2 linked regions of the Rhinolophus ferrumequinum genome follow. The protein of the gene in region 1 interacts with the protein of each later gene in a pairwise test. Links are inferred from orthologs where the notes say so. Each region holds a gene or a part of one and is shown in the gene's direction. Other genes may lie near its edges.

Region 1 (7,490 bases):
TGAAGAACCCAGTTTCTTTGCTGCTATTTTTGCTTCTGCTGGGATAGAGCGTAATCTCCAAGATCAGGTAATCTTGGGTTATTGAGCAAGACCCTGTCCTTGACAGGAATCGTCATGGTGGTTGAGACCACCCTCTGGTCCCTCAGTCGTTCCTTAGGCTGCCAGATCAGAAGCTGTTCGAGCATCAGATTTTGTGTCCGGGATCTATCTGGCTTTTGCTTCTTTTATTCAACCTGAAACTCTTCCTTGAGTGGCCCAGCGTTCCTCCATGGCCCTTGTCCATTGGAGCTGAGCAGTAGCTGCCCTTTAGATGCATGCACTCGCCAGTTTTCCTCAATTCCCCACTACACCCTATTATTTTCTTGACATTGCTTAAGGCTGGGTTTTAATTTCTATCTCTGTACTGAGCACTAGGGATTTTTGTGGATATAAACAAGACACAGTCGTTGCCTTCAAGATGTCCTCCTCTGTTAATAGAGACATGGTAAAAAGTAACTATATGTGATAAGTGCTAGAGTCAAATGTATATTTAGGTATTAATTGAGTACCTATCACATACCAGGTATTAATGCTGAATGCTTTAACTTATCTCATTTAAGCCTCAACACTCATGTGAGTTGGTGCTTTTTTTCCATTTTGCACATGAAGAAGTGAGCTCAGAGACAGTTAAGTAACTTGACCAAGGTCGTACGGCTAGTAAATAGGTAGCTGATTCATAATCAGTTTTCTGACTAAGAGCGTCAGTTCCCACCTTGCATTCTTTGAGAGCATTAAAGCTTGAACCATGGTTTTGTCTCATAGTGATCTGGGTGTGTTTTAGGGGAAGACGATGCACTGACCTGGTATAGAGGGCTGCTGAGATCCAGGACCAGGAGAGAATGTGAGTTGGAATCCCAGAGATCTCATGAGGCGCTCAGTTGACAGTAATGACAGGCTAGAGAAGGAAAAGCTCTAGTACGTGAATGGGTCAGGCTGCCAATGGAAGTCCTAGGATGATTTGAGGTCTCTCCGCACTATTCTATTAAGGTGACTTTTGATGAAAAATAGCAGTTGAAGTGGGTTTGTTGTAGTTTTTGTGTGTGTGTGTGCAAACTGCCAAGAATTAATAAAAACTATGTCAAAGATCTTCACAGTGTGAGGAGACATGTTTGGTTTAATCTGCTACATCAAAAGCAGAGTAGAAGGGTAGGTTTTTGGAACAATAAGCAGACCTCAGCCAGGATTGGTGGTGAAAGGCATGGATTTCTGACATAAAAACTGGGGAGGATTTTTAGTAGCAGCTGGTAGTCCTCCCACATGGCCCTTTGTGGCTCAGGAGTTGCTTTATGCAGGGTTGCAGAGTATGCTGCAGATAAAAGAGAGACATTCCCTCATAGTAGCTTTAGGACCTTAAGGAGATAGGTCTCTCTGAACTAAGCCTGTGGAAGGAATTTGGCTTGGATGCTTTTTAGTACTTTTTTTCAGTGCTTGTTCAGTACAATATACTTTACATATGTTATTAGCTCATTTAATTCTTACAGTGGCTCTGTGATATAGATGGGGATATCCAGATATTACAGGTGAGGAAACTGAGTCTCAGGGTTAGTCCAGCGTCATACAATTAATTGATAAGTAGAGGAGTCAGAGTTTGAAACTCGCGTTGCCCGACTCCCCAGTGCTTAGTTGTTTTGCCGTTGGGACACTGATTAATAGTGATGTGAAAATGTTCTTCCTCTTCCTCTGCCTCCCACTCCTCACATGAGCTTCTTTGCTTCCTGGCAGCTGACTTGACCCCAGTGTGTTGGGGTTTAAAAGAGGCTCTAGTGTGGATATGGCACACAACTGGCCTGTTGGCCTTCTGCTGTCTCGTCTCAGAATCTGTGGTCTAAACTTTCAAGAAGAGAACTTACAATACCTGCAACTCTGCAGCTTCAGGAATTGCCCCACGACACACCCTGTTAGCCTAACTAGACTCTTACTTAGATGCCATAGTGAAATTGCCATGCAATCCCTTAATATTTTAATGTATACTGTTTTTAATGGTTTAGTTGTTAGTTATTTCAAGTCCTTAGAAATGTGATTTGCTACTGGTTAAATGTTCCTAATAGCTGAGTAATAAAATTTGTGTCAACTTACAGGCTCTGTTATTTTCAGATACTTATCTAGGTCTCTAATCAAAAGATCAAATTCAACATTAGTCACATTTCTGATTTTTAAATTAATGAAGTTGGGTATAATGGTTTATGCTATCTGTACATACATGTGACACCTAAGAATTTCCTTGGGTGTGCCCTGAGGTGCTCCATGTTTTGGTAAGCATTGTGGTGCAGTGGAAAGAGTTCTACCCTATGGGACCTGAGTTTGCATCCTAGATGTGCTGGTATGGCTAGGGGCTGGTTGTTTAACTTCTTTGAACCTCACTGTTTCTCACATGTTAAAAGGGGATAGTGAAGATTAGAGGGGTAAAGTACCTAGCACAGAACCTAGCACTGATTGGTGTTTAGAAATTATTTTCATTTCAATGTGGGAAATGAGTAGAGTGCGTGTAGAGAAGTTAATACGGCAAAGTGATCAGACAGACCGCCTTGCTTACATTTCAGGGCTCTGCCAAATCGCTGCATATGCCCATGATGACCCGTCATGTGAGATGAACCAAGGTATTTCTAGAAAAGTGGTCATGTACTTGGCAGAAGAGTTATGTTTAGTCTTGGGACCCTTAGCTTTGATGGGCGGATGCAGATCTAGGAGATTGTTAAAGGCCCCAGATAATAGTGAGACATTTCTATTTGAATATTTTGTGGAAAAGAAAAGAAAAAAGGCATGTTGACTGATTTTCACCATATTAGTAGGCTCCTCTTAAAACCTAAACAGTTAGTGGTGGTGATGGTGGGGAACCTAAACAATTGGGCCCAAAATCCGGAAGGAGATCTTCAACCAACACTGGAGTGTCTTCAGTAACCACAATACTACAGGTTTCCCCCACTATCCAAAAGTAGCTCATTATTATGAAACCTTTGTAAGCTGAAATGGCATAAAGTGAAGACGCAATCACCTTAGGACACATCTTGCTAACAGACGTACAAAATAAATCGAGATAAAGCACAGCTGCTCACAGACGCATTTCAGAGCTATGGTGGGTGGATGCTGAGATGCTGAGTGTAGTTCCTGGGGAAGGAGCTTGGTGGTGTCATTCTTGCTGCTCAGGTGCTCGCTGCAAAACAAACGCTGACCGCTGTTTTTGCTTTTCACATTTTTTCATAAAAGCGAAAATCCTTTTCGGATTTCTTTTGGTTATGAAAACAGGTACTAATGTAGTAGGTCTTTTGTAAAAGCAAAGTCGTAAAGCGAACTTTCGAAAAGCAGGGGATACTGGTATTTACAATATCTCAGGCTGAGATCGACCCTGCTGCTTATTCTTGAAAATGTGGTAGAAAAATTGATCTTCTATCGGAAACTAGTCAGCAACATTTTGTGGCCGCCCTAAATAAATTAGTTAATCCATCAAACTAAAATGTGCTTTAAACACTATATTCACTGATGCTCTATCTTTGCCATTTCCACCCTCCCCCCCTTCATTATATTTTCCTCTTGGGTTCCTGGTAGACTTTTTGGGAATGCCACTCTTTCTGTCACTAACTTCATACATTACCCCAGAATTTTCCCATTTAGATCAGTTTGTATTTCAAAATAAAGTGATTTGCCTGGTATAAATACGTACGTGCTTTTAAAATTAACATGGACACAATGACAGATACCTTTTTAGAAATCCTGCAAACTTTTGTATGGCCATTGATACCACTCTTTGGTACTGTTAAAGAAGCTGCATTTTCTTCGGAACCATTGGATCATCCTACCCCATTTTCTTTGTTTTCTTCTGTTAATGCACGACAGAAAACTGAAGATAGAAGTCACAACTTTCCGACCTTGTGCACATTGCTTCTCTGGTTTACTGCCATAGGATACTGTAGTAATATCTTACAGACATCTTTGATGGCCAATCAGAAGCAGTTAAATTACCTTAAATTTTTTAAATGGAACTCTGACAGCCAATAAGAAATGCTTTGGGTGGGAACTGTAACAACCCTTTCGTGTGATTTTAAAAACAATTCTGGATTTGCAATATCCTCTGTTTTGTAAACGCATGGGGCCCTAACGCATCTGCTCTGTGCATTTGCCAGGCATTTCCAAGCCTTAAGTTCCCTGTAGTTTGAAGTCTGAATCTGACCCCTGTTCTGCTTCTCAAGGTAACTTTAAAACAGGAAGTGTACAAAGGAGGTAACTGATGACGTGAACAGCCAATCGTGGCTTTGTATTCTTAGCCGATGAAGCAGCTCAGCCAATGGGAGCATTCTGGAGGCAAGGTTTGGTGTCAAATAGCATGTTAGATTGAATGCCTTTGACTGTTAAAGTGGAAGGAGGCTGCAGGGCTTCATTGGAGCCTCGGAGTTTTTCACTGAGGCAGGGGTCAGCTGAAAGACAAAGAAAAATGGCGAATAGTTTGCTGGGGGGTGGGGGGACAGCTGTTCGGGTTTTCACTGGAGTGGACATTCCAGACTCAGGTTTCTGCATCTCCTGCTGCCTTTTGTTTCCTCCGTCCTTTTGGGGGGGAGGGATAGGAGTGACTTAAATTCTCCCTGTCCGAGGAGATATAAATAACTACATGTAAAATTAATGCAGTTCCCGGTAAGTTTAATTCTTTGTTTTGTGTTAAAATGGTAGAAACTGTTTAGCTTCAGAGAGTGTAGACAAGTTGCACTGTTTCAGAAAATGGCCACTTTACATTCCATGCATACCTTTTGGTGCACCTAGAATACCTTGCTCTGTAGATTTTGCATGCCCTTCAACTAGGATTTCTTTTCCTAGTTGAGTATCGGCAAGATCAGGTACATGAAGAAAGGCTAATCATTTTCCAGGGACACACAGAAGCAAAGCACTTTCTCTTTGCATTGGGTAAACTTAACTGTTTTCCAAATAATTTTCCTTTGTTCAAGTGCACTGAAGCTTTCCTACAGAATAAGCTGAGTAGTTGTAAGACTTTTTCTATTTCCATGCACTTTGTTGACATCTGTGTTTTCAGAGGTAGAAGCAACACTATCGCTGTTCTAAATTTGTGTTAAAATATGATTTGCACTGATGCAGGTTGTAATGGTGAAGGCCCACATGCCAATGTGAAATTCTCCCTTAACTTTCTCAATTACCTGTCTGCTTCTATATTCTAATAAGTACCAATTAATTAAGTAACTATCTTTGTTTGAAAATGCACATTTTAGCATAGAATGCTGTTTAGAAACACACTTCTTCACTATATTGGCAGGGACAAGAGCACATCTTTTTCCACCAATTTCACACATTTTGTCAGGTGTTGATTTGGTTCTTTAATGTGAGCAAAACGCTTTTCATTTTCTGTATGAAATATTTAAATCCTAATTTACCTGCAGTTTGTGAATAGGAAAGTTTATAGGCACCCTACCCTGTCTTTTGCCCTTGGTATTTTTTTTCCTCTTTAGGATATGAAGCTAATGCAGGTTGCTAATCAATAACGAGCCGTTCTTGTGAATAGTGAAATCTTCCATCCCGGGCACTAAAGAGCTATGATACACTTGATTTTAAAAAGCAATTCTTTGTTTTCTTTTTATTTGCAAGTATGGAATGAAGGTCATTGGAACATTTCTGCTGCAGACTCAGTGTGGAGCCCTGAGCCAGCAGCACTTACACTGTTCCTCTGGGTAGGGAACAGGAGCAGGCCCTCTTAGAGGAGAAGTTTGGAGGGTGTTGATTTGCCTTCACCTCGCTTCCTCTGGAGTAAAGGATTTACCTGAGAGGATCGATAGGGGTTTAGATTTTGGACTCTTAGAATTGGAATGGTGGAGCAGTCAAAGTTGCTAGATGCAGGCCTCTGTCGTTGCTTGCAAAAGTGACCTTGAAAAACTGCCGAGGAGTGGAAAGATTGAAGGACAAAGTTTGTTTATACAGATTTGGACTGAAAAGCTCTATTTAAGATGAAAAGAGACTGTACTTCTGATGTCCAAGTTGAGTGGTTAGTAGGACTATGTTACAGATTCAAATTGGGAGTTTTCAAGCAATAAGACAATAGGGCTGTATTCATTTTCTCCTACTCTTCTCCGTACCCTCCCCCCCAGCAAAAAATTCTAAATCCTTGTGGTATGATAGTTGAGTGAACTGCCTAACAGATTCAGAATTCCTTGCATGCTACCTTGTCTTCTGTGTAATCTAGAGAGTTCTTAGTGAAGAATGGTATTTCAGGAGTTCAAAGTAGTTACGTTTGTGAAACTTCTTTTGGGAAATTGGAATGCTTATGGTAAGAAAACAGTCATTCTGGGAAGTTATGTTACAGGAGAAAGGAGTTTGTATTAAGGATTACATTTAAACAGGTAATTATTTTAATTTAACTTTATTTTTACAAGTCATTGATTTATATGTTGTCAGCTGCTTCAGGTTTTATATATTATTTAAAAACAGTTATAGATTCTGAATGACCCTATTGGTCCCGGAGAAGGCCTGGAGAGGGGAGGCAGAGGTAAGTGGGGCACAGTTGGAGGCCTAGATAGAACGCTTTATATTAAGAACTTGGTGGATTTAGCTTCTTGGAAAGATACCTAGCCACTGTCTCTGGCCTGGGTTCTTAACCTTTTTAGGGTCATGTCCTCTGAGAATCTGACCCACTGTCTGGAAAATGCACATCGGCATGCCTGTACCCCTGGTGACTAAGATATTTTACAGTATATGTAGAATGGTGTTTATATGATCTCTTCATTTATACTTTAGCCAGGTAAATGTTTGCCAGAGAAGTGAAAACTCTAAACTCTACTTCCATAAGGAGCAAAGACCTTTTAGAGCTAACTATAACTTAGACTAGGGGTGGCTGTGTGTGGGAGGGGGATGCTTAGATGGGGTCTGAAATTTGGGCATTTATTTGCTCTGATTACAGTATTTGAAGCAGCATGGTGCAGTAGCAGAAGCAGGCAATTTAAAGTCAGGAGGCTTGTGTTCAGGTCCCACATAGCTATCACCAGCTTTGTGAGCTTGGGCAAGTCAGCCATTTAGTGTCAGCTTCCTCACATGTAAAAATGGGACCTAAAAATAGCACCTTCCTATTTAGTAGTGTCTCGGATGAGATCATGTATGTCAGAGTGCTTTGCAAATTGTGAAGTGCAACGTAAAGGTTAGTTGTTACTAATCCAAACTGTTGGGGTTGGTTAATTGCTTATGAAGATAGATGTGGCATCAAAGGAAAAAAAATGCCAGTATTTTAATACACCTATAAAGGAGTTTGTCAGTACTTCTCTTTTAAACTGGTTCCACGTGCCTTCACCTGCATATTCCTGTTTATGTTGACATGACTCTATGTAATGCATACATTGAGACTATTGAACTTCCCTTACCAAGATTCCTATGAAAGAATTTTAACCCCTTTGTCAAAAATTAGGGTCCTCTTGGAATAAGATGTTATGGGAATGCCGATTTTTTTGAAACGCTTGTTAGAGTTAGGA
Region 2 (6,974 bases), about 42 Mb from region 1:
CTTAATGGGTCTCCTGTGTGCCAGGCACTGTAACAGGGAACTAGAGAAACAAGGTTAAATGGGAAGTTTCTCTAGGTTACTTGATTTTTCCAAGTTATACGATGTACTTTTGTGTTTCTTCTTCAGCTGCACACTCTCTCCTTTTCTATCAAAATTCTACTCAATCCACAAGGCTCAGTTAAAATGTTGAGTCCTCTCTAAAGCCCTCTGTACCTCACAAGTGGTTTGTGAATTTCTCCTTCCTCTGCACACTCTTAGCTTACATGTTTATCACAGTATTTTATTTCAATCTGTTTTATACTGTGATTCTCCCAATAGGTTGTGGGGTCCTTGAATACAAGAAGGATGTTATATTTATCTTTCTCTCTCCTGTACCATACTTAGGACAGTAGACACTCAGGTGTTGAATGAATGTAGGAATCAGATGCTGTCTTCCCTTTCTACTGCCTCCAAGATATCATTTCCTTAAATGCCTACTATTGCCTCAAATCAAAACATGTCCAAAAGCAAGCACTTCTCCTCTAAAGCTCCCGTTCAATATTGCTGTTTTTGACACTACCCTAATTCCAGTTTCTGAGGCTAAAAATCTTATATTTGATTAGTCTGTTTCCTTGACTATCTAAGAGCCAAACTATCAGGTTCTTCCAACTCTTGCTGTGAAATAGTTCTTGGAATCACCTTTCTTTTCAATCCCATTATTCCATTCCTAGCAGTAATAATCATCAGTGTAATGATTATTTTTTAGCAACTACCACTATTTATTTAGCATTAAAATTCTGGCCTAAATGCTTTGCATATATTATTTCATTTGAGATTTAAAACATCTGTGAAGCATGTATTCTTATTTTATAGAGGAGAAAAATCAAGATACAGCTTAAATACCCTGCCCAAGTTAGTTAAGTGGCAGAATGGGAATCAAACCCAGATCTGAAGCCAAAGATATTGAATGAGTTGGGCTCTCTCAAGTTGTAAAGAATAAAAATGGAATTTTTAGCAGAGTATTATGAAGATGCACAGAAAGAAGCACAGAAAACTGTTTCATGGAGGCGTATTGTCTCTTTCAAAAGAGTACACCAACATTCTAGCGATCCATTTATTTTGTTGGTCTTTCTGACATAATTATTTGAAGCCTAAAACTTCTGCCCCTGCTTCTACTGCCCTTTTTACAAGTGAGTTCTCTCTCTTCTCCCTCTCTAGTTCTCAGCTTCTATTACCTCACGACTTCTGCTGCCTCATGTGTTTGGCTCTCTCTCACTAAACAAAAATGCTTTACTTCAATTAAAGTGATCTCTTTACTGTTCTCACCATTTCTGTCTACACAACTTCGTATCATTACTTTGAACACAAATACTTTTTTCCTCTTTCTCCACCTGTCAAAAGCCTGTATTTCAAGGCTCCTTCATTACTTCCTTTTAACAGTTCCAATGGATTCTTGAGTGATTACTGTGTGGTAAGTCCTCTTGCTGACTCAGGATGAACCCAGAAAATGAGCAAGAAAATAAACCTTTTGAGATTCTTGCAACATAATTTAGCCTATCCCAATTGCTATACTGACTTCAGGGAAGTTATTTAGCTTCTCCCAGCTTCACTTTCTTTATCTGTAAAATGGAGACTGAAACAGTATCTATAAGATAAGGTTGTTCTGAGGATTAAATGAAATGATAAAGGTAAAAGTACTTAGGTAAAAGTACTTAGCACAGTGCCAATCACAAAAGAAGCATGTAACACATGATATTTTTTAAATTTGTATTACCAACAACTAGCCATTGGTGTGTTAGCAATGACAAATTAGCACAAAGGATAGCATTATTTGCTTTTTTAAAATGTAAAGCTTCAAATTACAAACGTTATAGATTGTAATTTTAGCTGAAAATCCAGGCATCTATGAATTAACACATTTTAAGATAACTACTGTAGAGTTAGCCTAATTCACCATACAAAACAGCTGTTTCTTTTCATATCATGAATTTTGGAATACCATGAGAAAAATAATGTTTCATATATATGCACTAAAAGTCTTAAAGCTCATTGTTATCCTTCTTTTCAAAAGCCTATTTATAATAAGGATCTATTGTACTGTAAATAACTGTGGGATCCAGATTAGCATATTTCATGTGCCACACGATTTATATTTAGTTAAATTTTCTCTCAGCCATATTATGTATGGTTTATTAATAGTTGAAGACCGCTCAGACCTGATAAAGATAATAATAAACACCAACATCTAAATACTGCATAATGTTAAAAGCGCTTTTACATATGGTCTCATTTGACTTTGAATCCTGAGTTATAATTCCATTTCTAGTTGAAGAAAATGGGGCTTGGAGAGTGACCTGTCTAAAGTAACAAAAAACTGGGACTGGAACCTAGGTCTCTACTACACATTTCATGCTTATGCTACCACAGAACCCTGTAGTAATAAACTATTACTGGAATAACATGTGTGCTCTTCAGATGTACGTATGTATCATAAGCCTATTGTTCTACATTGTATAAACGTTACATAAAAAAGCAAAATTATTTTTTCAGGAATGACAAGATTTGGGTCAGTGACAAATGTGATAACTGGGGACATGTTTGCTAGCTTTTTTCAGTCGGATAAACTTGGTGAGGCCAAGATGAATTTAGACAGCATAGTAACTCTTGAAACCAACAGTCTTGTAAACTGACTTACATAAACACTTCATAAAGGGCCAACAACTGAGCCAACAGTTTCACATTCTTATTTTGAAGAAAATTGTCAAATACATTGTTTTATCAAAGAAGTTTTGGTTTGGCTAAACTTAATTGCATTGAAAACCCAGCGTCTGCACTTCAGAAATGAAAGAACTGGCAAGTGTGCTGGAGAAAATGCTAAATGAAAAAAAATATCTAGGGTCTTTCTTAAATAAAACGTTTTAAGAGTACATTTCAAACAAGCCAGTTGCTGTCCAATGTATCAAGAACAATGTATTTGATTAACTAAAGTGCCAAAACAGATTTAAATGGTATCTCGTTTACTTTTTAGAAATTGCAACAACCATTTATAACACAGACTCTTCTAACAAATGACAGTATGAAAAACTTAGCTTTTTAAAAAATAGTGCAATTTTTATGAAGAACTTGACACACGTTGATGTTACTAGTTACCCTGGAGAGCAAAAATCAGAGCTGCTTAAGACACTGTAACATACTCCCCCCCTCCCCCGTCTCCCCACCGCCCCCCCCCCCCGTTTCTTCAGAAGGCAACGTGCAATACACCATGAAAAATTGCTAAGTTGGAACCTCTTAATGCTACGCATTTCCACTACGTTGGATCTTATTTCTCGTTTCCGGTTTAGCCATTAGTAGTGACTGGGAGGTCATGTCACTTCTCAGCATGTTTTGTTTCTCATAAAACGAGAAACTGGGTGGAGGACCAAAAAGAGCTTTGATCCGAATAACGTCTATTAGGTATCAAAAGGTTTTCCTCCGGACTGTGCAGACACAGGAACACCGGCTTCTGATTTTCTCATATCCTATTCCCGAGCCCAGACCTCGTTCCTCTTCTAGCCCAGTTCGGGCTCCTTTAAGGAACAGCAAAGAGAGTTCTTTTAATAAAAGCCAGCATTCCTTTGTCCCTGAACATAGCTGGGAAAGGCTTTCGAAGCCTCAGCTGGTTGAGACCGTAGAGGCGATCCAACCTCGCCGGCGCACCCACCCACTCCATCCCGAGTCTGGCGCCGCAGCCCAGAGCGAGCACGTACTCGGGGTTCTCCGGTACTGTGGGGCGCGCGCTCGCCCTGCTACGGTCCCCATGAAGGAGGGGGGGGATGCCCGGGCGCGTGCCAGGACCGCGGCTGGCGGAAGCGGGGGGCCGCGGGGCCGGGAGGTTCCTGCTGGCGCGGGTGGGGGAAGGGCAATAGCCACACCCGGAACTCGGTGGGGAAGGAGGGAGGGGGGGTGAAGCTTCCGGTAGCGCAAAGGGTGTCGGGAGAAGCTTCCCACAAACCTTCTTCCCTGGCCTCTGGAGGGACCACCGTTGCCGCGGCTTCGGCTTCCACGATCAGCGTTCGGGCTAAACGACCGCGGCGGCCGCCAGTGCTGCTTCCCTTGTGTCTGGCCCTGTCCGTATTCGTTCCCAGGCGGCCGCCCAAGTTCCAGCAGCGGCCGCGGCCGACATGTTGTGAGGCAGCGGCGTGGGTGTCTGAAGGATGGTTTGGCTGAGGCGGCGGCAACGGCTGCTGGCGGCTGCGGCGGCGGCAGCTGGGGCTCCGGCTCTGTAGAGCCAAGCCCACTGGGTGTCCGCCCAGTATACCTCAGCGAGGCCAGTGTCCCTGAACCTTGCCGCTGCTCCGGCACCTTTGGGGACCGGTTGGGCGACAGCGCCCGCCCCTCTGAGGAGACACGAAGGTGTTCCCTGGTGTTCAAATTTCCTGACCACCTTTCTTTTCCTGCCCGCCCTGGGGCAGAATTCTCAGCCCCGCGACTTTCCTCCGAACCTCGCCCTAAATCTGACTGACACACGCTGTGTTCCCTGCCCTCTGGTGCCAACCCTCGCCCCCCCTTCATTTTCTGCCCCCTCTTCTCGTAGAGCCCCCGGGATCACTCTCCGAGGGCGGCCTTTTGAAAAATCTTTGTGGAGTAGTGGACCAGAACTGGGGAGTTCTTAAAAGTCGGGGCGAGAGACATAGGAAGATACGATGGCTTCCTCATCTGGCAACGATGATGATCTCACTATACCCAGAGCTGCTATCAATAAGATGATCAAAGAGACTCTCCCCAATGTCCGGGTGGCCAACGATGCCCGGGAGCTGGTGGTGAACTGCTGTACTGAATTCATTCACCTTATATCTTCTGAAGCCAATGAGATTTGCAACAAATCTGAAAAGAAGACCATCTCGCCAGAGCATGTCATACAAGGTAAGTGTTACGTGTGGGATTTTGTTTAAGTGAAGGTCCGGGGACAGCCTGCTAGTCGCGTGACTCATTCATGTCAAAGCCTTCATTCCTCTCCTCTGATCAGTACTGGAAAATGAAAAAGCCACGCGGGCATGGAGGCAGCGGGTGCCTTCAACAAATTCCTATGTAGTATGCTCGTGGTACTTTTCACCAGCCAATACAAGTAAGGATTGCGAGCATTTAGGTCAGCTAACATCCCCCAAAGGTAAAGTATTAGCAGTCGTTTCAATTTACAGCCAGGTAAGCCGAAGCAACAAGGATTTTGCCTGCCTAAAGAGGAACCTATACATGACAACTGAGAAATTGAAACGTAGATCAGAACATCTGAGAAAGGAATCCAAAAGTACTCCCTTGGAAAATTAAAATTCAGACAGGAAATTCAAGTATGAACAGAGACAGCACCCCTTCCGCACCCGATCTCTTCACCAATGTAGAGAACAAGATGAGTTTTCTGACCACCTGAGTAAAAAAAAAACTTTAACAGGAGTGTGTTCAACGTTTTCAAGTTTGTTGGTGTTGAGTAGAGTCTATTTTCTGCGTTAAAAATGGTTTAATGGTCCAACCGTTCATCCACAAGTTACCAAAGCACTCCAGTTCTATTCTGTAAGAAAAGGGTGAATGTCCTTTTCTTTTCCCCTCTCTCCCATCCTTCTTTCTCTTTTTCTTCTGTGTAGCTCCCTTTGTTCTATGGAGATAAATTTTTAAAGCCTGGTTTAAGAGATTGTAAGAGGTGTTTTTCATGGAACATTTCCCTGTTCTTTCCTGCCCCCATTCCCATTTAGATGTTCACACTCAAGCTTTTATTGAACAGCACTTCTGAAAGTTGCAACAGTTTTTTTCTATCTTTGGAAAGGATTTAGTTCAGTAATAGGGATTTGGGAGACCGTATTCTGATGGTGTGTTTCAAGGATGGGGAGACATATTTACTAGTCACAATATTTCGGGAAGCACATACACCATTATGAAAAAATTGCACTCAATTTGAGGTTATAACTTGCCTTTTATAATAATCCAATTAAAAATCTATCAATTTCTTGATTGCTTTTGAAGTCAGAAAAAAATCATGGTTAATTTTAATCATTTGAGTAGGCTGGTGGTTGTCTACCATTTGATTTTTATAACTTAACTTTTTAAAAGCTGACTTTCCTGTTATTCTGAAGTAGAGAATACATCTGCTCATATTCACCATATCCAATATTTTACTGTCAATATTGACGGAAGGATTAAATGATTCATTTTTGATCTTGAATGATGTGTGGAAGGCAGATATAAATTATACTCTGCCATTTCCATTTCAGTACATAAGGAAAAAAATAAGCCCCTAGGAAAAAGCATGTTTAATTTTAAAGCTACCATTTTTTTCTACTTGTTTGGTATGCTGCATACCCTGGCAAGTAAAATGAAAGCCAAGTTGTCTATTTTTCCTGTGGTGTTTTTTTATTTTCACGTTATATGTTCAATTGTTGTCATAAGTCTTTCTCAAGATTATCCAACACAGATAGCTATAATTTCCTTTTACAACTCATAAAAAAGAAAAAGGATCTTTTATCAACATTGCCTTTTACTGCAAATTGCAAAAGATTTCTAAAGGATCTGCCTAAACATTTGTTTACACCACAGAAGTGGGTATCATTCCAAAAATCTAATAACACATACAATCTGTCTTCTTGGGTAGAGTTTATTCTTTTCTAGGATATATTTAGATTTCTGATTGACATGATGGAATAAAAGTGCAGCTGTAGCAAGCAGTATGCTAAATGCCTCAACTTTGGAATATGCTAAATTCAGTTTAACAACTAGGAAAGTTCCAGTGAAAGCATTTTCCTTTGTGTACTAAGTATGATTTATTAATTTTAAAAAATCATGTATTGACCTGTTATAGTCTAATAAATTTACCTTTTTTTCTTGTAGTATTGATATTAAGTGGATGAAGACCTACCATTTTTGCCCCAAATTTTCCCGTTAGGGGAATAGATTTTATGCATACACATAATCTCATATTACTCTCATATTGCTTAATTATTTTAAAGATTTTTTTTTGTCTTGAGTGGTTA

What was found. The genes of interacting proteins can lie anywhere in the genome.
Region 2: the proteins of NFYC (region 1) and DR1 interact in binary tests that used the Homo sapiens proteins (3 or more experiments, as listed by UniProt). The link is inferred for Rhinolophus ferrumequinum from reciprocal best matches to the Homo sapiens genes NFYC and DR1.

The regions. Positions count from the first base shown.
Region 1 is NC_046292.1:28,481,828-28,489,317, forward strand, and holds the start of NFYC (nuclear transcription factor Y subunit gamma), read left to right. Parts: upstream 1-4,395; 5' UTR 4,396-4,465; coding exon 4,466-4,538; intron 4,539-7,490. UniProt on the Homo sapiens protein: Component of the sequence-specific heterotrimeric transcription factor (NF-Y) which specifically recognizes a 5'-CCAAT-3' box motif found in the promoters of its target genes.
Region 2 is NC_046292.1:70,528,100-70,535,073, forward strand, and holds the start of DR1 (protein Dr1), read left to right. Parts: upstream 1-3,938; 5' UTR 3,939-4,661; coding exon 4,662-4,881; intron 4,882-6,974. UniProt on the Homo sapiens protein: The association of the DR1/DRAP1 heterodimer with TBP results in a functional repression of both activated and basal transcription of class II genes.